Schizosaccharomyces pombe: one gene and its partners. Changing the gene in region 4 together with the main gene of any one other region gives a genetic interaction. Each region holds a gene or a part of one and is shown on either strand. Other genes may lie near its edges.

Region 1 (7,273 bases), 1.7 Mb from region 4:
GTTGGGATAGGGAGAGTAACGTTGGAGTTGACGAAAACATGTGTATGCTAATGAAATTCAACAACTTCATTCGTTTCCCCATTGTTTGGTAATTACTTGATGACATAAAGATAAAACTTGAATATTACAGTCGTCTTCAATTTAATTAGTCTACTGCAAGCTCAAGGGCAGATACCTATTTCGTTGACTAGTTCCTCCATGTGACCACCTTACCAATAATATTTTCAAATTTATTTATTAGTGTTAGCGTCTAGGTAATTTGAGAACATACGATAAAATACATCTTGAATATCTGTTTATGGGAGAGGCAAATTATTCTATTTTTTGTCTGTAGTACCACATTTTTCCTAACCTCCACCCCGACGGTTTCATTCACCATACTTTGATCAAATTAATTTGGAACGAACGGTTCTTCTTTTATATCTCCTATAATAGAAAATAAATTACAATGAGTGAAGAAGAATCTCCGTATCAATTGACAAAGACTTTCTCGAATCCGAAGAATAACAAAATTGGACTAGCTATTTTCCTTATTGGAGCATTTATCAATTTAATTCACATTTATAAGCCCAAGGGTCCTTCTAACAATCCCACGAAACGGAATTATCATATTTCATTTGGACCCCCTGGTAAAATTCGATGGTTTCCTTTGGGTATTCGTAAAGAAGTTCGTAGCAATGTGTCAGGCCGTGAGATCATCATTAAGATGATAATCACATTCATACTTGTTCAGACCACATTGATTACTTTAGATCTTTATGTTTTTGGCGCGACTGGTCTAGGTTTAATTCTTTCATGGAAACTATTCGAAGTTGCTTGCGCAAATCCTGAAGATGAGGCTCTACTGGCTGAAAGAAAACAGCGCTTAAAAGAACAACGAGAAAAGAAAGAACAAAAGAAGGAGCAAAAGAAAGAGAAAAAAACCGAGAGGAGGAAAAAGAAAAAGTTGTAGAAAAATAAATCTGGATTATGTTTGTTTTACTTTAAGAGATATAGTGCGGTAGGTTAGCCATTCTGCTTTGATCATTAGTATATCAGTAGGATCTACAAGTGTCACAATATGTAATGGTATTTATTTACATTTAAAATTTAAATATACTAATACTGCCTATTGGTCGGAAAAGAACGCAATGTATTTATCATCCCGTATCGACCTAGCAAAAATAGAAGCACTAATAGCTGAGTATTTAAGGCTTTCCAAAATTAATTCATAAAAATAAAAAGGATCGAAAAGACTTAATTACTCTTCGGCAACATGATAAGATGTTTTTCTCATATCAAAAAGACGACGTCGGGCAGCGACTAAATCATTTTCCAACTTCAAAATTTGCACCTGTTGCTCAATTTCTTTACGACGATATTCATGAACACCCAATGAAGAGAAGTCTTCATGCTGCACCTCTTTAGCTTTGAGAGCAACAGACTCCACTTGACGAACCAATGCCTTACAGGCCTCCGTAACAGCTTTCGCAGCATCCTCAAGATGATCTTGAACCTTAGAGGCGAAATTTGCTTTTACACGAGAGGCTGCAACCAATTGTGCAGTTGCGGCGCTAACACCATTACATGCGACAATCAAATGCTCAAAACTAGATGTACCGTTTACGACTCCATCAGCAGTTTCGATTAAAGTAGTTGTAGCACGCGCAACGGCTTTCGCAGCTGATATAAGGCCTTCCGTCCAGCGGTTATGTTTTTTATAAAATGCACCACGTGAACTGGAACCTCTTCCTTGAGCAACAATCTCTGCCTGTGAAGCAGTTGCTGCTTTAATTAATCTGGCAATAGCCTCGGTAATGGCAATTGATGCGCTTAACAAAGAATCGTGAACTTGCAGTTCTGAAGGGGACAAACTATCGTCTTTGGGTTTTGCTGCGATATTTTGTAATCTTAAAATAGCCTGTTGAATAGCCTGTGCTGTTTCCGCCAGTTGATTATCGACAAGTTCTTCAATGTTTTCACCGGGAGCATTGAGTAATCCCACAGTGTTTTCCGATTCTTTGTTCAGGAATTTTTCAGAGTACTGTGTAAGTTGTTGTAAATAGCGTTGTAACTCTATATTTTCACCAATTACAAGATCTGTTTTAACATTTACATCCATTTTTCTTGTGTTGACGGAAAATAAACTGGAAAGGAACCGTTTGGCCATATTTACCAAATCCCGAGATAAGCCAACAAACCGATCCGATCCTTGGTCGTCACCAGTTGTTCTACTTAAACCTTTAGCATTATTGGCAACTTCGTATATGGCCGTGGAGAAAAGATTGACTCCATTGATGACCTCAGAATGGTCAGCGTTAGGCCCATCAGCAAAATAGTTATTGAATGCTGTCGAAAAATCAGTAGCATTGTTACTAGCATTTTCAATAGTAGATAGAATAAATTCAGGAGTAGCATATTGATTACCGGCATGCATCGGTGAATCCAGTTCATACAAACTAGTGTCTAAACGTTGGATACCAGTAGCCAAAACAGAATCCACTATGTCATCAAGCTTCTCCAGCTGCGATTTCAAAAGCTCGTCAATTTGAGTATCCATCGCTTGATCAATGTCATTACGATCCAATTGTAATTTGCTAAGCTGTAACAGAGACTCGTCGACAGCTGCTTTTTGAATCTCCAGCTCTTCTTCCTTTTCCTGCAAAAGTTGGCGGTACCGATTTTCAGTAGACTTCAATTCAACACCTAAGTTGGCTAGCTCACGATCCTTTGAATGAAGAGCATCTTCTAAATGAGCAACTTCTGTATTATAACGACTAAGCAAATTTGATACTTCAGATGATTTATTGCGCTCAAGGGAAGCAGCCTTTTCCTGAAGTAAACGTAATTCACGCTCAGTGCTTTCTTGCTTGTCTCGTTGACTACGATGCATAGTCTCGAGTTCGTGACGAGCCCTGTCTCTTTCCAAAATCATATCAGCAAGTTCCAAGTTTTTATTCTTCATTTCTCTTTCCATTTTTTCTTTCTTGTCAATAGCCTCTTGCGCAGAACTTGCTTTGAGCTGAATTTGTTTATATTTCGAAAGTAAATCTAAGTGTTCCTGACGAAGTTGTGTATATAATTTGGCTAATGCTTCGTACTTGTTTTTCCATGTAAGAATCTGATTTTTTAAAGATTCAATAAGATCATCATTTTGATGTATTTGCTCCTGCAAGTTAACGCCAGCCTGGCTCAGCTCATTTTCAAGAGTTCTCACTCTAGCATCATATTGATTAAGTAACACATTGCTCTGTTCAAGTTGTCCTCGAGTAGCAAGAAGCTGTTGCTCAAGTTCAGCCAACTGTCCTTGTGTTTGCATTTGAAATTGTTGCTGAGCAAGTTGTTCTTGCGCAATACGCTGTTGTTCAGCTTGTGCCATTTGAATTGCCTCCAAGGCCTGCTGATGTTGCTGTGCGGCCATCCGTTGACGCTCCATTTCGGCAGCTTGCTGAGCTGCTAATTGAGCCTGCTGTGCTGCGGCCTGCTGAGCCGCTAACTCTGCTTGTTGTTGAGCAGCTTGCTGAGCCGCTTGCTGAGCAGCCAATTGTTGATCTAAAGTAGGATCAGACCAGAAATCTTGAATAGGTTCAGGTTCACTATAAGCCGGAGTAATGTCGCTAGTATCAGGAAAATTCATTTCAACCGGCGGAGATGGAGAAGTACCAGTAGGCTGAGGAGCAATGGTCGAGGCGCCAGTGGGTTGGGGAGCAATTGAAGCAGGTCTCTTAGGAAGATCAGGGATATTGTCATCACCTTCCAAATCGGGGGGATCATGTGGAAGACGAGGGACTGAAATGAGACTAGTCAAATATCGAAGATTTGAACAATCCGCGTAAAATTGACGAAGCCTATGGTGTTGTGACTTATATCTATGCTTCAAAGGTTCCAAAGTCTCTGGGGCATCAACTGTGCTATATAAAGCACGTAACATACTAGTTAAAAATCGATAAATACCATATGACTCCTGAACTAGAGGCACAAGGGCTGCAATTCTACATTCATTTTTATTTGAACGCTTGAAGTTAGAAAAAAGCTGTTTTTGAAATTCATCAATATGATCCTGAAGATTCATCATGTCGTATACAGTTTCATAACCTTCATTAGGGTCATCGACTTGCCTAAGACTAATGTATTCTTTATACTCAAAAGTACCATTAAATTCCGGATGTTGAGCATGAAAAGAAAGCTTATCAAGTAAATAATCCACATAATCACGAATTAAATCGCTATAGCCCTTTGGACTACTTTCACCATCATACTGTCGTTCACAAGTTTTAAGCCAGCCTTTCTCACTTTGAGAATCAACAAGTGCAGACTTATGACCTTCTTGCAAGACACGATGTATGGTAATTAACGCCTTGAAAGTTTGAACTTCGTTTGCAAGCAATGGCTGAACTTTTATAGCAGTCCAAAAAGGCCTGGCTGTATGATGATCCCAAGTGAAAATGATGCAGCTACGAACGTGCTTTCGCTTTGGGGCTGTTTCATCGATGCTAGTAGCCTTCCGCACGCTTGTCATCAACGATGCGTCTGACTGCATGTGATCGGATTGCAGTCGAAACGAACTCATCGTGTACTTTTCGATTTCTCACTTTTGGTAATTAAAAATTTGCCAATTCAAATCCTAACAATTTCTGGTAAAATACAAATATCGTAGTGCTATGTACAAGATTGTCTTCTGTCCGTTCTTACTATAGAAATTGGTTCTGTTTCAAAACTACGACATCCGTGTCCCGTACGAATTTTGATAATTACGAAGTAATTTGTCTCGCAAATATCAGCTACGTATTTCGGTATCTATTTTAACGATACTTAAAAACAGTATTGAATCTTCCTTGTGATTGTTATATTGCAATACGAGGTAATATAAGTAGCAATTGATGTAAGTATTCTAATACACATTATCTGTTACTTATCACTAACGTAGCTAAAAACCGATTCCCGTCCTCACTTCAGTTTATCTCAATATATAGTGTTAAGAATTTGAATGTAGTAAGTGATAGTTACTTTATCATAATTAGTAACCGTACCTTGATAACTTATCATGTCAAGTTGATAAATCAAAACAGTGCACTTGACATATAGTGACACGCGACGTAAAGTATCACAGCGTAGTATTGCGGACAGTAAAAAGTAAATAAAGAATTGCTACGCACCCTAGAATACGAAGAGGTTTACTAAATTTTAACTAAAAAAAAAAAATCCAATAACATGATGATATTAATATTTTTAGTTATCGATATAACCTTCTAAAAAAAATAAATAATTGTAATAAATAATACGTAGATGAATAAACTAGCAGGTGATAAGAGAACAAATGCCTGATGTATTTTAATTTCAAGTCCTTCACACCAATATTTGAAGTTATAATGATTTACCAGTCTAAAGAACCAAGAGTCTTCGTTAACATTTCTGCCTGTACTTTCGCATAATTCTCAGTTTTCGCCCTATCATAGTACACCTTACAGCTATTTGACTTGCAAAGAACTGGATCACTAGATGAAAGCTTACTGCAGCCTCGACAAATATCAAATAGCAAGGAAAGTTTTTTGTTATAAGCATTGTGCTGCGTAACAGCTTTAGAAATAGTAGCACAAGGATTTTTTAAGCAATCACTGCAGAGGGAGTTAATTTTATCAGGAATAATTTCAATATTATTCTTCAAGCAAGAAGAGCAAAGCTTCTCCATCAGAAAAGTGTCCAAAGTCTTTTTTTGAATACCTCCTTTCACTGTTTCAGTCAATTTTAAACTGGTACGTGGTTTGGGCATTTCATGATACCATGACTGGGCACTAGCCCCTAACAAGTTTAGAAATCGATCTAATGGAGGTATCAAACTATTGTTGATATAATAATTTATATCAAGTTGAGAAAAACTCGAAGACAGAAATTCTTCGGGTGCAACTGAGCGGTTCGCCAAGGTGGTACCAGGAGCAGCAGCGATAATCAAATATGGAACACGTTCTCCATATTGAGGTTCCCTCCTAGGATCTTTGGTCATCAACCGTCTAGCCATAACTGCTCCAGGAGGAGCAGTACTTAATTCTTTATATTTTTCTAGACGAACTTCTTTTGAAAAACAAAAATCCATAACAGGAACGTTTCCACTCATAATTTGATAACATACGTTCTGAAATTCTTTTTTGACCGTTGACAAATCCTTTGTCTTAAAAAGTATTTCAAGGCAACGACGAAGGAGCTGCTGTTGAACAGGAGTACCATCCCTTCGAACTGTCTCAATGCCTTTCGCTTCAAAAATTGGAGCTTTTTGACTAACTGATTCAAATTTGAACCCTACATATCTTTTTTTCGCTAACAAGAAACAAGGAAAGTAAATTTTTTCAAATTTAAGTCGAATTGGAGAAGGAAATCTGGAAGTAATGTTGTTTGCTAGCTGCTGTCCGATGTCGAAAGCTTGCTCTTTAGTCGCTCCAGGTAATTCAACAAATAAGCTATCGGTATCACCATAAACGACCTTTGCATGACAAAAATCTAAAGTATTTATGTATTCTAGTGAATAGCTAAGTATCTCACGTCCTGTTTCCACAATAGTATCTGCGATTTCTGAACACGGCATTCTTCCTGAAAATGACGCTGAAGTATATCCGTAAGTTACGTTTGCAATCAATTTTAGGGCCAGTTGCCGACTATTCAATACTTTGTTGACATAGTCCGAGTCACAATCTTTCATGCCTCTTTTCACCATATTTCTGGTTTCAATAAGTTCCTCTAGCATTTTAGCGAGCAAAGACTTTCTAACATTCTCTTTAACGTATGCATAACCATTAGGGGAGATATATACATCATTTTTTATTAAATTCACAATGTTTGGATTGCTTGAATGAAACATAAATCCAAGCTTAACTTTTCCATTGACTATTTTCACAGGTCCAAGACATGTGGAATAACAAAGATTATATGCAATTATAATAGAGGGGTATAGTGACTGAAAATCTAGTACAACTACCGGATTATTGTATAAATCAGACTTCGGCTCCATAACAAGAGGTAACGCTTCTAAAGCATTTTGCTCAGCAACTTGCTTAGCGCTAGGTGATGGAAATATGTAATTTTCAGGCTTTGCAATTCGAAACATAATAGATTCAACTTTAAACTGGGACCCCCTAGAAATTACTGACATGAAGTCAATTCCGATAATTCTTGCTTGTTCACGAATTTTAGTGACAATGGCACAGGCTGATAATATTTCCAAACAATATCTAGTCCTGTTTAACATATAATTTAAAAGGATTTGCTTCTCATGAAAACGAGAGCTCTGCCAAAGATGCACTTT
Region 2 (8,321 bases), 510 kb from region 4:
TTCTTCGTGAAGAAATGATTGGAGAATTTAAGCAGTTTATCTGGCGTCCGAGACCTCCTTCTCCATTGACAAAGGAAGACATGAAGAAAATTAGAAAGAAACTTAAGGATTATAATCGTTTGTTTGATGAAGAGGATATCGCCGAACAGAGTTCCGCCAATCGTGAATTGGCAGCCCGTAGAAGACAGCTCATTAGTGAGTGGCAGAAATATAGGGATGAGGTTATTGCTCGGGTTGCGGAAGAACGTGCAATCACTGGCCAACCTGCTATCACTGTTCCTGCTGAAGAAGAAGAAATAATTCAGGAAACGGTTGAGGAAGTAATCTCTGAAGAGATAGAACCCGTTGAAGATTAAGGGCTTTACGCTACCTTTTGTCATAAAAAAATTGGGGCCTTCTTCGAAATCGGATGTTACTTGATTAAAATCATGATCTTGTTGCCGCAATTATGTGTTCCTGGACGTGTATTTGCGTTTCGATTGGTACTGTATGGGGAAATTTATATTTACATTAGTCCTTTTAAATGGAATTGCATTTGCGTTACATACTACTGTATATAAGTAATATAGCGTTCTTAATAGTTTTGTGAATGTCCGAGTATTATTTGACTCAAGAAAGTTTCTAAATTCATATTGTCTTAATGCACTCTAGAGATTTAAACATAAACATTTTATTGGTAAATAAAGTATAAACAAGCCAATTTAAAGAGATAATTGATAGCTGCAGAATGAGAAAATATATCATTCATAAAGAGCGCATAAAAATTAGAAACACTACAAAAACTCAACGTTTGATATGAGTACAAACAAAAGTTAAGCCACTAAGACAAATTCCCATACCAAGCGGATGAATTGCCGTCAGAAGCGTCTAAAACTCGTCCTGCTATGGGCTTGCTTTTATCCGTCGTAACCGTTTTTTTCAACCGAGTGCCAGTATGAATTTGTTGAAGTAAAGCACTACGATCTCCTGGATTGGGAACAGAAGGAGCCGATGAAGCAGGAAGAGGTGGTGGTGGAGCAGACGGTGGACCGGCAGGCATTGGCGGTGCAGATGGAGGTGGTGGTACTGACATAGGAGGAGGTGGTGGTGTTGGAGCAGACATTTGAGGTGGTGCCGCCGATTGAGGTCTTACAGGAGGTGTTGAAACAGGATGAGCAGGAGCCATACCACCGAATAATTTGGCGGCTAAGGCAGCTGCATCTTTACTTGAACGTATGTCATCTTCGCTATCTTCTTCTTCTTCATCACCATGTTGACTCCAATTGTCAGAATCGTGACCACTAGGTTGAAGAGGAGAAGGAGCTGGTGGTTGCATTTTAGCGAATGGATTGAAATGATTTGAAGGGGCTGACGGAACAGCAGGAACGGCTAAAGAAGGTTGACCTGCAGCATTCATTGCCAACGGAGAACCTGAATTATTGACAGGACCCATCCTAGGTGAAAAAGATTGCGAAGTTCCCAAGTTGGTAGCAGGAGCTATATTATTTATCGCTTGAGGCTTCTGAACAGGTTCTTGAGGTGCATAAGGTGATGATCTATGAGGCATGGAGTTGTCTGCTGGTGCAGATGACAAAGCTGCCGCAGAAGGATGCTGAGGTGCAGGCGGCGCTGGGCTAGGAACATGAGCGAAAGAAGATTGGGATGGAGGTAATGTAGAGCTAGGAGCAGTGGCAGGAGCCACCGAAGAGGGAGGCTGTTGAGCTACAGAGGGTATCATACTTGGAACAGGAACATTTGGTACCGCTGGAGGTAGCTGTGAAACAGGAGCAGGGGGTGCAGGCGCAGATGATGGAGCTGGAGCATTTGTAACCATTCCGGGCGCCTTCGGCTGAACCGGAGCTACAGCATGCATTGGTGCCGGAGGTACCACTTGTGGAGCATGGTTTGAAGGTGCACCTGGATTGGTTGGTTGACTTGCCTTAAGGGGCATAGTGGAGGTTTCATCTTCAATTGAGGAAACATTGGATCCTGAAGAAACAGAGCCAAATGAATCGCGTCTTTCAGGAGCAGATGGTCTTGCATTAACAGCATTGTGAGATGGCATTGCGTTCATAGGTTGAACGGGAGGTGGTGGAGCATGCACATTCGATGAGTCCGGTATTTGCGGTTTAGGAGAAGTGGGAACAGCTGGCCTGACAGGTGGTTCAAGTGACATTTTTGAAAACTGATTTTCCAGTGGTGCTTGTTGAGGTATGGGAGCTGTGTTAAAGGACGTAGAAGTAGTAGATGGGTCTTTAACAGCTGCTGTTGGAATTTGTTTAGTCGGCTGGGGGTGCTGAACAGTGGGAACCACAGCTGGAGGAGTAGAAATAGAAGCTGAAACAGCCGGTACATTAGAAGAAACTGCTGAAGCTTGTTTTCCGGGTTGAATCTGTTGAGCAGTGGGTGCGGCGACTGGTGTGCTAGTTGCAGAATTGACTGGTGCAGGAGAAGGTGTACCCTTTTGACGAGGTTTTATACCAAGAGCGGCCAAACGCTCATTCATACGACGTTGGGCTTCAGCCTTGATACGAGCAGCACGATCTTCAAGATTAGACGAAGCTGATGGTGATTCAGAAGTAGCTTTAACCTCGGGAGTGTGCGTATTTGATTCAATGGGCTTCGATTGTTGAACTGTGGAAACAGAGGGAGGGTTCAAAGTTTGAGGTGCTGCTGGGGCAGGTACAGGCAGCTCTTTGACAACACGCGTGACAGATTCATCAACAACGTTCTGAGATAGCCAAGCATCATCATTTGCCGCTGAAGGTAGAAGTTTTGCTCTAATGTTATTCTCAATGTTGGTAACATAATTTTTCATTTGCTCAAGCGCAGCCTTTGATTCATTCTTTTGTTTCTCCATTTCTGCTAACTTCGAAGAAATTGTTCTATTACGTTCTTGGGTAGCCTCTGGAGATGTTTGGTCATAAGAATTTTTAGTATCCTCTGCTTGGAAAAGTTTGAGCGACAAGCTGGCAATTGTATGATCAACTTCATTAATATCAGAAAGCATTTTAGAGACACGGGTGCTCAGCTCTTCTAATCGCACATTCATAGAAGCAACTTCAGGTGACTTGTTAGAAGTAGAAAGTCGATTAATCTCATCTTGAACAGATTTAATGCGATAAATTAAAGAGTCATTTTGAACGTCATTGGCAGGAGTAGCAGCCAGTTTCTTATCTTCAAGAGCATTGACAACAAGACTCTTTTCATGAATTCGTTTTTTAAGAGAAGCTATTTCAGAATCAATATCATTAATAATAGGAGGAGCAGATTCAATCTTTTCTTCCTTAAAATCTCTTCTTCGAGCACTAGAAACATATGCAGATGCATCAGAATCATTGTGCCGATACAATGTAGCATCCTTTTCAGTCGTTTCGCTAGGATTGTCATAAAACGAATTCTTCTTAAGTTTGCTTTGATTTTCGGCGCCAAAAGGTTTTCTGTTACTCGTGTCATTCTTAATTAGGTTCTTAACTTGATTCAACGACTCAGTAAAGTTTCTAGTAGAAGGAGGAATTAACTCAGGGGGAAGCACGGCAGGTACTTCATTACCATTCAATTTGCGATATATCAAATGAAGGGCAACAGCAAATTCATCACGGTCTAAAGAACCCTTGTCACCGTGATCACATAAGTTCCAAATATGCTCAAGCTCAGTCCGGGTTAACTTGCTTTGACCAAAAATTTCCAAAACTGCGTTGCCACCAAGGGTACCCTTTCGCTCCTTGTCCCAAGCATCAAAAATTTGGTCATAAATTCGTTTTTCTTCTTTGCTGATAGCCCAAGGAATATCTTTCTTCTGCTGAAACGTATTGTTAAGGCCTCCAGAAGGAGCATTTGGCATCATTTGCTGTCCTAATGCTTCAATTCCAGGAAGATTACTTAAAGGAGTATTAATGAAGCCCCATTGACCAGGCATTCCGGTTGGTTGAGGTGCCATACCACCAGTGCGCTGGGGAAGCATAGGACCACCAGTCATCTGAGGTTGCATACCGGTTCTCTGAGGTGCCATCGGCTGCATTCCAGTTCTTTGGGGAGCCATCGGTTGCTGCATACCTGGCATCTGAGGCTGCATACCAGTTCTTTGAGGCATCATGGGTTGCATGCCAGTTCGTTGAGGCGCCATCGGTTGTTGCATGCCTGGCATTTGAGGCTGCATACCGGTTCTTTGAGGCATCATGGGTTGCATACCGGTTCTCTGAGGCGCCATCGGCTGCATTCCAGTTCTTTGGGGAGCCATCGGTTGCTGCATACCTGGCATTTGAGGCTGCATACCAGTTCTCTGAGGCATCATGGGTTGCATACCGGTTCTTTGGGGAGCCATCGGTTGTTGCATACCTGGCATTTGAGGCTGCATACCAGTTCTCTGAGGCATCATGGGTTGCATGCCGGTTCTTTGGGGAGCCATCGGTTGCTGCATACCAGTTCTTTGAGGCATCATGGGTTGCATGCCAGTTCTTTGGGGAGCCATCGGTTGCTGCATACCTGGCATTTGAGGCTGCATACCAGTTCTCTGAGGCATCATGGGTTGCATGCCGGTTCTTTGGGGAGCCATAGGTTGTTGAAATCCAGTCATTTGAGGTTGCATACCAGTTCTTTGAGGCATCATGGGTTGCATGCCAGTTCTTTGAGGAGCCATCGGTTGCTGCAAACCCGGCATCATGGGCTGCATGCCAGTTCTTTGAGGAACCATAGGTTGTTGAAATCCAGTCATCTGTGGTTGCAAACCAGTTCTTTGAGGCATCATGGGTTGTTGAAATCCAGTCATTTGGGGCTGCATGCCAGTTCTTTGAGGAACCATAGGTTGTTGAAATCCAGTCATCTGTGGTTGCAAACCAGTTCTTTGAGGCATCATGGGTTGTTGAAATCCAGTCATTTGGGGCTGCATGCCAGTTCTTTGAGGAATCATAGGTTGTTGAAATCCGGTCATCTGTGGCTGCATTCCAGTGCGCTGTGGCATCATCGCCTGCGGCTGAAATCCGGTTATTTGAGAAGGTATACCAGCAGCTTGCTGGAATCCACCAAACATTTGAGCTGCCATCTGCTGAGCAGCAGCTTGTGGAATTGGCTGAGTTGGTTTTGCGTAATTTTCATCCAACGAAAATGAAATTGCATCTACCATGGCATTTACCTCATTAAGAATCCCATCCGGAACCTTATCAGGTATGGGCTTCCCTGTAAGTCCTAAGTTACAAAGATACATAGCCAATACAAATTGAGGAAACAAAAGGCGACCAGAGCGGGTGGTATCTGATAACCTCCAAATTTTTGATAACTGAACGGTAGGAAGCTTAGAACGAACAAGTATTGCTTTACCGATCTCAGATGACATTGCTTCTTCTCTACCAACAGCAGATTTGAAAAGTTGCTCAAATTTGGCCTGATCAGCAGCAGAGACGAATGATAATCTAGTGTCCATCGCTTTACTATTATGAATTTGACCAGTCTTTTGAGGTTTAAGGGGCTGTGCAGCAGGCATGAAGGACGCAGTTTGCTGAGGTTGAACAAAAGATGCAAAAGGTCCAGTAGGTTGAGCTTGCAAATATCCAGTGGGTTGAGGTGGCATTACTACACCAGTTTGCTGAGGTTGAACAAATCCAGTAGGTTGTGGAGCAAACGATGGAGCAGCCCCAAAGGGTTGAGTCTGCATAAAGCCAGTTGCTTGTGGAGCAAATCCACCAGTCTTTTGGGGTTGCATAAAGTTATTCATTTGAGGTTGATATGCCGGCATTGCTCCAGTCCGTTGAGGCTGTATAAAGCCTGCACCACCAGTCCTTTGCGGTTGCATAAATGAAGCAGGCTGTTGCGACATAAACCCTGTAGGTTGCGGTTGCACAAACCCCGTAGGTTGGGGGGCAAATCCAGGTATAGCTCCAGTTTGCTGAGGTTGCATAAAACCTGTATTGTTCATTGTTTGAGGCATCATCCCATTATAGCCATACATTTGCTGCTGCTGTTGGCCATAATCGGCTACAGACCCCGTAGGCTGAGAAGCATATCCGAATCCATTATTAAACTGAGTAGCTGGTTGTGATTGCTGAAAAGGTAGCATCGTATTACCAGCATAGCCATCAGGTTGATAAGGCTGTTGGTATGGATATGTTTGCTGCTGGTAATTCATACCGCCTTGATTTATAGGCATACCATAGCTGTCAAAACCTGGTTGAACTCCATTATTCGCGCCATATCCGTACATCGATCCATTCATCTGATTTGGATATGACATACTACGATATGAAGGAGAAATTATTGAATGAGCACCCTCTTATTAAGCCAAATTAATAATATTAAATGTTCCTTTGGCCTTCTTTGCTCTTTGGTAGTTGACAAGCCGACGGTAAGTCTACATTAACCAAAGTAGCACATTAACGCAAACCCTGTACCTCGTTATTCCGATAAAGGTTTATGTAAATTTATATCAAGTAGAACATGTAAATGGCAATACATGTCAATACATTAAGATATTCTTTTTATTTACGTTAACATCTTATGTTTTTAGTTGATTCAACTTTGATTATGCTTACGATGCCTAACAATGCTCTTCAACGTGTACGGATATCGGATTTCCAAAAAAAAAATAATAAAATAAAATAAAAGGCAATTTAACAAATAGGTAAATTCATAGAAAATGTGAGTTTAACAGGTATTGTGATTCTGCAAAATAGATTGATTTTAAAAAACCCGCGCTGAAGATGAATGTCATTCATACAATAAAGTAAGACAAACCTAACTATAATGATCCCCTAACAAAAGCACGACCACTCGTTTGCACGAATTACTTTAAGGTAGACGTGTATAAACAACTTACAAAATACCGATTTCAGCCTAGCAAACTTCAATATTTACATCGTAAAAAAAAGGAAAGATAAAGACGGTATTTATCATATAGAAGTCTTTATTAAAGAGTTGGCATTCGAAAAAAAATAAAAGCTTATCATTCAGATAACATTAAGACAGTTATGCTTACAAAATGTTATTTAAGTTAGAAGGGAAAGTGGTGGGAATCGGGAAGATAAGGGCACATTTCTTCTCAATTTACAATACTCAGACATTTGATATCATAAATACTGATTCTCGTAAAAAGGTAACACCAGTAAGTTGACTAAAGAAAGAAAACAGTGTTCCATACCAAAATCAAATCATTTTTCGCTAAATATAAACCATAAAAAGTGAGGTCGAACTTAGCTAGTTGACAAAGTAAGAAAGAAAAAGAATGACAGCAAATAGAAGATATAAAAAAGGTGGTATGTTTCTTCTATGTTCGTCAAGCTTTTCGCTATCTACAAATCCTCAAGAGCTTGGTGAACTTCATCTAATTCAGCCTTGACCTTAGTATACTTGTCAGTCATTTCTTCTAGTTTCTGTTCCATATCATCACGCTCACGCTCTAGAGATTGGACGCGACGTTCAAAATGCTCAGCCTTAACATCAGTTTGACGCATCTTTTCGGTGGTTTCGCGAAGTAGCTTGTCATTAGTTTCTAGTTCTTCCTCTAAAAGCTCAACTTTACGGCTCAACTGCTCGGCTTCCGTCTTTTGAATATCTTCATTGTCGGCTTTGAGACGTAACTGCTTAGTTTCTTCTTCTAACTCTTCGAGTTGAGACTCGGCGGCTTCGCTTTTCCTCGAAAGAGACTCATATTCTTGCTCTTTAAGAGAAAGTTGAAGTTCAACTTCTTTCAACTTGGCTTCAGCTGCTTCAGCACGAGCGACAGCCTCATCAGTCTCAGCACGAGCGGCATTAATTTTCTAAATAAAAAGCAAATATTAGCAACTTGATTTTCCAATGAAAAGCTATCATCTCATACCTCTCTAAGCTTATCCATTTTCCTACTGTTTCCTTCTTTCCTTGATGGTGGAGGGAAGATACCGATGGGTGTGTTTGACATGCATATACCACGGTAAGGGTGGTGAATTAATTGACGGTACAAGAAAGTTCTATTTACTAATTTATTACAAAGAAATACACACAAGCTCTACAGTAAAGCGCTTTGTTCATCAAAGAACAAAGAAGTTGAGGCTTTGCTTACAACACACCAGATTGTTAATTTCATCAAAGAAATAAGCGTTAAAAGAGCAAAGTTAAAAACAGTAGTCAAACATTTGTAAATTATAATCGAAGTGTTCCTGCAATAGATTTTCAAGTTTGGAATGAAGTGATTTAAACAATGCCTGATTTTTGTATTTATGACTGAAATTTTAAGAGCTCTCTACTGCTAAAGAAAAATGGCATATATCAATAATATTTAATCATTTAGTTATACAATTATAAAGAGGTCCGCTTGTTAATTTCATATTTACACACATACAGACTAGGAATTAGTTGGAAACAGGTATTTAAGA
Region 3 (4,165 bases), 2.2 Mb from region 4:
AACAGAAGCAACTGAAACACATGTTACTAATTGTTCTGTATATTTGGATCGTCCTCGTATCCATACTGCTAAGTACCTTTTGGGACATATTATCGATGACGAAGAAATTATAACTACCCCAGCTAGTGTTTGTTCAGAAGATTATGCTCAAGAAGTTAATTTGTATTCTCAGGGAGGATGTCCCAGTGATGATGATGAAGAGGAAAACATTATGTCTGCGTCCATTTATGCTGAACGTATGATCACCCTTGTCGGCGATGTGAACGGTAAAACCGCCTTATTAATTGACGATACAATTGAAAATCCAACAGCTTTCATTGTCGCTTCCGAACATTTGGTTAAGCGATGTGGAGCTAAAAGAGTTATAGTGATTGGTACCCATGGAATTTTTCAAAATAAATGTTTAAAAGATTTGCAATCTTGTGAATACATTGAACAGGTAATGTCAAATATCACGGAAAGCTGACTAACGTAACAATAGATTGTTGTCACCAATACGTATCCTATCAAACCACAAGCAGTCCTGGAATGTGACAAACTTACTGTTATTGATATTAGTGGGGTACTTGCAGAGGCTATTCGCCGTACCCATAACGGTGAAAGTATTAGCTTCTTGTTTAAGAAAGCGTTCTAAAATTTTCGTACTACTTTATTTATCATGTTAATTTAATTAGTTATTTTAACTACAATATGCTGCTCTAGAAGACTTGGTTTTGAGTCAAAGTTATAGGATATCAAAAAGTAACGTTTTGTTTAATATCACTGTTTCTTACCTTGGTGTGAAGAATGTCTACCAATGAATAGAAAAATCTGTACGCTAATTATTTACCTAATTTAAGAAGTAGCACTATTTTGTAACAAATATAGTTGCCCGTATTGTGGGACTTCTTTAAATTCGAGGGTTTTCACGTTTTATTAATGCATAAAAATATTAAAAAAAATAATAATTAAAAATTGGTAGCAATTTAGAAGTTACTTTAAAATTTATTAGGCCAGTTCAACTCTTTCATTGGCATTTTAATATACCAAAACACTTAATAATGTAAGTAAATTGCAAACATAATTTGTTAAATTCAGAAAAGCTGAGTTTCTTCAAATGAACTATCAAAAACCAAAGTTTTATTAAAAAAAAAAAAAAAAAAAAAGAATCTCAAAAGATTAAAAGAAAATGTCGTTTAACTTCTTAACAATACATTTGTTTACAACTTGTTTTTATTTTTTTGTCATATTTTCAACTTTGCGAAACACACTATATATACTATATAGTTTGCTACAAATCAAGCAACAGCTCCCGTGGCCAAGCTGGTTAAGGCCTCATGCTTATATGATACTCCCCTTAGGAGGTGTGTTACGTGGAAATCGCGAGTTCGATCCTCGCCGGGAGCACTTTTTTTGCAAAGAATTTTTACACAGTCAAGATTGTTGGCTTGTCTAGTGTATGGATCATTGTAAAATAATTTTTATAAGTATATGTAGTACTTGATTTTTTGCAATTGCTTATGTAGATAAATCTATCACGTTACCCTCCACTTAATGAACTGACTTCTTCCTATTCAAACCCTCTTTTTTGCGAAAAGATAAATATCTAAATATTGTTGTGTTTATTTACATATAATGTAATTTGGCTCAAGTTAGTAGTTAAAATGTTTGCACTGCTTTTAATTTGTACGCAATATTATTTCGCAAACGGAAAGTAAAAAGTTTAACATTTGTTATTTACACATGGCAATCTTCTACAAACGATATACATCCTACTAACAGAAACCTGTTCAAAAATGAGAAAGGATCCAAAACTACTTTTATCTGATAATTTAAATGAAATAGCAGTAATATTGATTGTCATGTCAAAATCTAATACCCAACACCAACAAGATAATCAGCTAAAGCCTCTATTGCGTTGTTAATAATTGTGCTAATTAAGAATAGTAAACTGAGAAAAACTTACCAGTAATCTTGGCGGCTTCTCCTGGAAGGGTTGTTTCAGGGTAGTGAGAAACCAAAATGCAAAGCTTAGTAGCTACACAAATAATGCCCTCTTTCTGTAATTTACCATAGATAGAACGTCCTTCAGCTCGAATAGTGATGTATTTTTGACCGGCTAAAATGATACCAGTGCCAAACATACTAGGTGGATCTTGGAAACCAGCGGCAAGGCCTTGGATTTCCTGAGGAGAAAGATTGAATCCAGCAGAAGCAGCCCAAACACTGTCACCAGCACGAGAGACGATAGCAGCGCGATCGATTTTTCCAGTACCGAGCAAAGAAGTATCAACGTAAGCTAAATAAGTTAGATATTATTCGTAATAATATCTAGAGGATATACAAACCTTGCCAAGACATTTTTGCAAATCTGGGTTTAGAGATAGGAAAACTTGTAGTAGTAGGGTGACGGAAAGTAGCAGCTACCCGTTCTACATGCGTTTGAAACCTATGACCAATTTAAGGTGCTCTAAGACGTTCTAACATTGATAAAAAAATTCTTATAAAGTTTCCCTCATTTTTAGAAATAATATGAAACTTATCGCAGTTGACTTCGTTAGAGGTTTACCATTCAAGATCGTGTGAATGTATTGTGTAAGGATTGTTATGCTTAATACGACTTCAGAAGTATTCAATAGAATTTCAGAACTCTTGTTTAGAGGTTCAACAACACAATTAGAGATACTTCGTTCAGTAATAGATTTTTTAAAGAAAACAACTTCAAACCATACACCGATAGATTGAGCTCGTACTAGCGACCAAAAATTCGATTACACACATCATGTCTGTTTTCAGTCGATGGAAAAAAGGCGACCATATGAAACTGAAGAACAAAGCTTGCAGAAATAGCTTACTGTAAACGTGTATAATGGTCAACAGATTCAGACTTTCGAAGCAAAGTATCTTTACAATTGAAGATAATTACCAAACGGTAAACTACATTATTTCCGATTAACGTTTGTAACAAAACCACTATGAAGTAACTCAGATGTCTATTGATCTATGGAAACCACCTGATAGTTAAATACTTTCTTCAAAGACAAATAGTCATTCATTTTATTGAAATTAGATCGCCCTATTTTTCACCGATGCACAACAACTTTAATTCATGTCTGAACGATTCCGATTTTCGGTGCGTTCATTGCGTCTTTTAACCGAGCCACCCTTATCACGACGTCTGTTCTCCTGAGGATTAGTGTGTTGGGTCTTCTGCTCATATAGCTTTTCATTTGCCTCATTCAATTGTGCAGTTTTCTCGCTAAGAGAAACAGTCAAGCTTTCCAGCTTGTTAATCTCAACACGTTCAAAAATGATGGCACCGTGAACTTGATCAAGAGCAGCATGGATCTCACGTTTAGATAATAACCGAGAAACAATAACAGTAACACGCTGAACAGGAAGATCAAATGTCGTAGCCAAAAATTCAAGAGAAACAGAATCGTAAAAAGCAGCATATGCTAATAAGTATGTACGTAGTCCCTCTTCCCGAATCTTCTCACTAAGCATTTGCTTAATTTTGTCAGCATCAGGCATTAAGCTCCAAATCTTAATAGCATGAATAAATTCTTCACAACGACGCCATTCACCATCTGCCAATGCTTTCGAAGCTTGCATTATATACTCGCGGGTATTTTCAGGAGGACCAACGAAAAGCTGACGATCAATGTATTCAAGCATACGACGGAAGGGTCGGCTGATTACACGCTTTCTAGAATCTGAAGCAGTAGAGCTAGCAGCTGCCATTGCGGGAATCTCCATCAACATAGAACAAGTCAAGTAAACACATTCAAGCAGTTCTAGATTTATGTGCATATGGAAAGGTAAAACCAACTGCTTATCCAAACGATCCTGATCAGGTGTAAATTGTCCAAACTTTGGTGCTTGTATGCCTTGTCCAAGGAGTTCCTTTACACGACCAGTAGTAGAGATGTCTTGAAGAGCATACTGTGTTTCTTGAACCATACCGTTGCGGAAAGCACACAAACCAATTTGAACCATAGTGCGATTGTGTAAAATTTGAGTAGCAATGTCGGCAGCATGCACGCTATCTTGTAAATGCGACATAAGTAACATATCACGAGCCTTGTAAAAACGATTTTGCAATGCTTCATGATAAATATGACACAGCATAGCACGGGTACGAAGTAAACTGACACCATTATTATAAAGATAGACACATAGGGAA
Region 4 (4,491 bases):
TTTAATGATTCGCAGTTTATTAAACCAGAATCTTTTACGATAGCAGGATTTCAAAATTTTTTTAGAACGTTAGGCCATTATATCTACGTCGGTGCCTATCCAACACGGTATGCATTCTTGGTTTTTTGGTCGTTTTGTATAGTTCAGGCTGTCATGTACTTAACTCTTCCTGGTGTTCGGACGCAAGGTTTGCCTTTAAAGCATCGCAATAACGAACGTCTTCCTTACTTATGCAATGCTATCTGGTCTTTTTACACGACAATTGTTATTCTTGCCGTTCTTCACGTGACCCACGTATTTCCAATTACTACATTTATCGACATGTTCGGTCCTTTGATGAGCGTTGCAATAATAACCGCTTTTGTCTGTACCTTTGTTTTGTACACTGGAACTTTGCTTTTTGGTGATCGACTTTTTGATAAACCTCATCGGTTATCTGGAAATCCCATCTACGATGCCTTTATGGGAGCTTGCTTGAATCCTCGCCTTGGCAAATTGCTTGATTTTAAAATGTTCTTTGAAGTTCGTATCCCTTGGTTTATCCTATTCTTTATTTCCGTTGGTGCTGCTGTTCGTCAATATGAAACTTATGGCACTGTAAGTCCTCAGGTACTTTTCGTTTGTCTTGGCCATTATTTGTATGCAAACGCGTGCTCGAAGGGAGAGCAGTTGATTGTTCCAACTTGGGACATGGCTTATGAAAAGTTTGGTTTTATGCTTATCTTTTGGAACATGGCTGGGGTCCCATTTACTTATTCACACTGCACCCTTTACCTTTTTTCGCATGATCCATCTGTTTACAACTGGTCAACTCAATATACAACCGGTATTTATGTTTTGCTTCTTTGCTGTTATTATATATTTGATACTTGCAATGGTCAAAAAAATCATTTCCGTAATCAAATTTATGGTACTGAGGTTCATCGCAAAACATTTCCCCAACTTCCCTGGCTTATCATCAAGAACCCTACCTTTATTCGTTGTGCAAATGGCGGTACTTTGTTGACTTCAGGTTGGTATAGGTACGCTCGTAAAATTCATTATACTGCTGATTTCTTTCAATCATTGTCATGGGCATTGATCACCGGTTTTCAGTCCCCTCTACCTTACTTTTACCCATGCTTTTTCTTTGTAGTCCTTGTGCATCGTGTTTCACGTGATATTAAAAAGTGCAAAGCTAAGTATGGGGCTGATTTCGATGAGTATTGCCGTATATGCCCTTACTTATTTATTCCCTATATATTTTAGAAATGTCTTTTTAGTCCCTTCTTTACTTAATAAATTGGCTATTCAAAATTCCACTTGAAGTGTTTTTCTACTTTAAAATTCAGTTAATTTTTGTGAAAGTTCTCAAATTTGATTGAGTAGCTGGAACATTCCTTAAGTTATGAACGAACAAAGTAAGCAGCTCTGACCGTTTTTTATACAATCTATTTCTAGACTTAAAAATTATTAACTTCCAAGTCTTTTTGCATAAAGATTTTTGGAAATAGCGTAAGGAATAGCTAATAAATAGTAACAATCATCTTGTTTCTTCATAGCGATCCATTTACAGTTAAATTTTTTTTTGCATTAGTTCACTCACTTGCTAGATATATAAATTAGTGTGGAATATTTAGGCGGTAGTGCATACGCATAACCATTTGCTATTATTTTTTTGTAGAACTGTATGTTTTTTCGCTTATATTTAATAAGGGTCATGCAACATAATAATAAGAAATTATAGACTCTGCTTGTTTAGAGTAGTGCGCCACCCTTACTTGGGGCGACGGTATCTACTGATGCGAGTAGCCCTCCCCTAACCAAACCAGTGCCAACCACACTAGCTTACCCGCTATCAGTAAATAAATAATATGGTATGAAATATTTTTGTTAACTTTACATCGTGTTTATTTAACATACATTAGTCTTTTTCAGGTGTCAAAGTCTCTCCCGAATGCTTGGAAGCTTTCCAAGAGCTCAAGCTTGGAAAGTCACTCCGTTACGTAGTTTTCAAAATGAACGATACCAAGAGTAAGTGACGAAAACGATTTAGATGGAATTTGAGAAAGTCCAATATCCCTTTTTTTAAAAATAAATTTATTTATCTACATTGATATATATTTTATGTTTGTAATGTCTTTCTATGTCGTTTTTATAATTATGTGGAACCTTTCACTAATTTTTTTTTGTTTAGCTGAAATTGTTGTTGAAAAGAAGAGTACGGATAAGGACTTCGATACTTTCCTTGGTGACTTGCCTGAAAAGGATTGCCGTTATGCTATCTATGATTTTGAGTTCAATCTCGGAGAAGGTGTTCGTAACAAGATTATCTTTATTAGCTGGTCTCCTGATGTTGCTCCCATTAAATCTAAGATGGTTTACTCTTCTTCTAAAGATACTTTACGTCGCGCTTTTACTGGAATCGGTACTGACATCCAAGCAACTGATTTCTCCGAAGTTGCTTATGAGACAGTTCTTGAGAAGGTTACTCGTAAGTAAAACACTTTTGGTTACGATTTCTTGACTCATGCGTAATACGAAATGAAATTAAATAACTTCGTTTCGGTATGCAAACCGATCCTTCAACGCTCCTTAAATATCTTTTTCTATATATTTAGAACTATAAATACAAAGATTTAAGTGTACGTTGGTTTCCTGTTGATATTTAATTTGTCAATAGTATATCTACTTTAAAAAATTTGTCATGTGATAACGGATGAGTCGGTATATGAAAAACACTGCAAGTTATTTGCCAATGTAATTGACAAGCAATCATAGAGAAATTAGTTCTACGCAGTTTCCACCACTAGCTGAAATGTTTGAGTGCCTGGGTGCTTGCAGGTTTTTATTCATCTACTTCAAGTATGGTATAGTAAGTAAGCTTAGTTTTATTTTCTCAGTTCCGACTTTTTAATTCTGTAGATTTCATCTACCACTATTTAGTCATTGAAATTGTTACAAATATTCCTCTATATATAATGATTCTGCATTCCTAAAAATGCTAATTAACAAATTACGAAATCCAACGATCTACAAAGTAATGCCATTCCATATTAATATAACAATTGCTGTTCATTCGCTATCATTTTAAAATGATGTTTTCATTAGTTTGCTCATTGATCACATAGCATGTATTTTACCAGCTATTTTCAACGTACTAGTCTACTTGATCTGTTATTGATCAAATGTAAGTGAATTGCTGCTTTTATTGTTATTATAATCAATAAAGTAAGCAAATTTACACTGGGGCACAATCAAACATTGGTATGCAAAGAACATTAATTCGATATACCAATACGATGTCAAAAAAATTGAAGGATCTCCCTGTCAGCTCAACGTTCACATCAAATCTTCCGCCTGATCCACTGGTACCGACCGTACAGGCAATGAAAAAGGCTGATGACAGAATCTTACATGTTCCTCGATTTGTGGAAGGCGGCGGCTTATTTACTTATTTGACTCCATCACTAAAAGCCAATTCTCAATTATTAGCTTATAGCCCTTCGTCCGTGAAGTCATTAGGACTCGAAGAATCTGAAACTCAAACTGAAGCTTTTCAACAGCTTGTTGTCGGTTCTAACGTTGATGTCAATAAGTGTTGTCCTTGGGCGCAATGTTATGGAGGATACCAATTTGGGGATTGGGCAGGTCAGTTGGGTGATGGCCGCGTAGTATCCTTATGCGAACTTACCAACCCGGAAACTGGAAAACGCTTTGAGATTCAAGTCAAAGGCGCAGGAAGAACACCATACTCTCGATTTGCAGATGGAAAGGCTGTTTTAAGATCTAGCATTCGAGAATATTTATGTTGTGAAGCTTTATATGCTCTAGGCATTCCAACAACACAGGCTCTGGCAATTTCCAATCTTGAAGGTGTTGTAGCACAACGTGAGACTGTAGAGCCTTGCGCCGTTGTTTGCCGTATGGCCCCTTCTTGGATCAGAATTGGGACTTTCGATCTCCAGGGGATTAATAATCAAATTGAGTCTTTACGGAAATTAGCCGACTATTGTCTAAATTTCGTTTTAAAAGATGGATTTCATGGTGGAGATACTGGAAATCGCTACGAAAAACTTCTTCGAGATGTTGCATATCGAAATGCTAAAACTGTAGCCAAATGGCAAGCATATGGATTTATGAATGGTGTTTTGAATACTGATAATACCAGTATACTGGGACTATCAATTGATTATGGACCTTTTGGATTTTTAGATGTTTACAACCCATCTTTTACACCTAATCATGACGATGTATTTTTGCGATATTCATATCGCAACCAACCTGATATTATTATTTGGAATTTATCAAAATTAGCATCTGCTTTGGTTGAGTTAATTGGAGCTTGCGACAAAGTTGATGACTTGCAATATATGGAACAACTTCATAACTCTACTGATTTGTTAAAAAAGGCGTTTGCTTATACTTCTGAAGTTTTTGAAAAGATAGTAGAAGAGTATAAAAATATTGTCCAGAATGATTTCTATGATCTTATGTTCAAACGAGTGGGTC

Evidence for each region.
Region 1: mutations in adf1 (region 4) and end4 impair growth when combined (synthetic growth defect), as found in Schizosaccharomyces pombe (one study listed by BioGRID).
Region 2: mutations in adf1 (region 4) and pan1 impair growth when combined (synthetic growth defect), as found in Schizosaccharomyces pombe (one study listed by BioGRID).
Region 3: mutations in adf1 (region 4) and cdc3 are lethal when combined (synthetic lethality), as found in Schizosaccharomyces pombe (one study listed by BioGRID).

What each region holds. Positions count from the first base shown.
Region 1 is NC_003424.3:3,132,401-3,139,673, reverse strand, and holds end4 (clathrin adaptor End4), read right to left. Parts: upstream 4,688-7,273; 5' UTR 4,550-4,687; coding exon 1,241-4,549; 3' UTR 1,008-1,240; downstream 1-1,007. Other genes in the region: SPOM_SPAC688.12C (uncharacterized protein), read left to right, coding at 449-952; DNA polymerase zeta catalytic subunit Rev3, read right to left, coding at 5,354-7,273. UniProt on the Schizosaccharomyces pombe protein: Required for cellular morphogenesis and polarization of the cortical cytoskeleton. Required for establishment of new polarized growth zones where it acts in actin organization.
Region 2 is NC_003424.3:4,312,401-4,320,721, forward strand, and holds pan1 (actin cortical patch component protein PanI), read right to left. Parts: upstream 6,308-8,321; 5' UTR 6,206-6,307; coding exon 821-6,205; 3' UTR 718-820; downstream 1-717. Other genes in the region: tif302 (translation initiation factor eIF3b (p84)), read left to right, coding at 1-356; cdc8 (tropomyosin), read right to left, coding at 7,260-7,727, 7,787-7,804.
Region 3 is NC_003424.3:2,577,139-2,581,303, forward strand, and holds cdc3 (profilin), read right to left. Parts: upstream 2,388-4,165; 5' UTR 2,341-2,387; coding exon 2,328-2,340; intron 2,279-2,327; coding exon 1,946-2,278; intron 1,890-1,945; coding exon 1,852-1,889; 3' UTR 1,818-1,851; downstream 1-1,817. Other genes in the region: SPOM_SPAC4A8.14 (ribose-phosphate pyrophosphokinase), read left to right, coding at 1-439, 482-634; tif303 (translation initiation factor eIF3c), read right to left, coding at 3,082-4,165. UniProt on the Schizosaccharomyces pombe protein: Binds to actin and affects the structure of the cytoskeleton. At high concentrations, profilin prevents the polymerization of actin, whereas it enhances it at low concentrations. By binding to PIP2, it inhibits the formation of IP3 and DG.
Region 4 is NC_003424.3:4,823,440-4,827,930, reverse strand, and holds adf1 (cofilin), read left to right. Parts: upstream 1-1,804; 5' UTR 1,805-1,853; coding exon 1,854-1,856; intron 1,857-1,907; coding exon 1,908-2,013; intron 2,014-2,176; coding exon 2,177-2,481; 3' UTR 2,482-2,674; downstream 2,675-4,491. Other genes in the region: C-24(28) sterol reductase Erg4, read left to right, coding at 1-1,248; fmp40 (adenylyltransferase), read left to right, coding at 3,282-4,491. UniProt on the Schizosaccharomyces pombe protein: Controls reversibly actin polymerization and depolymerization in a pH-sensitive manner. It has the ability to bind G- and F-actin in a 1:1 ratio of cofilin to actin. Binding to F-actin is regulated by tropomyosin.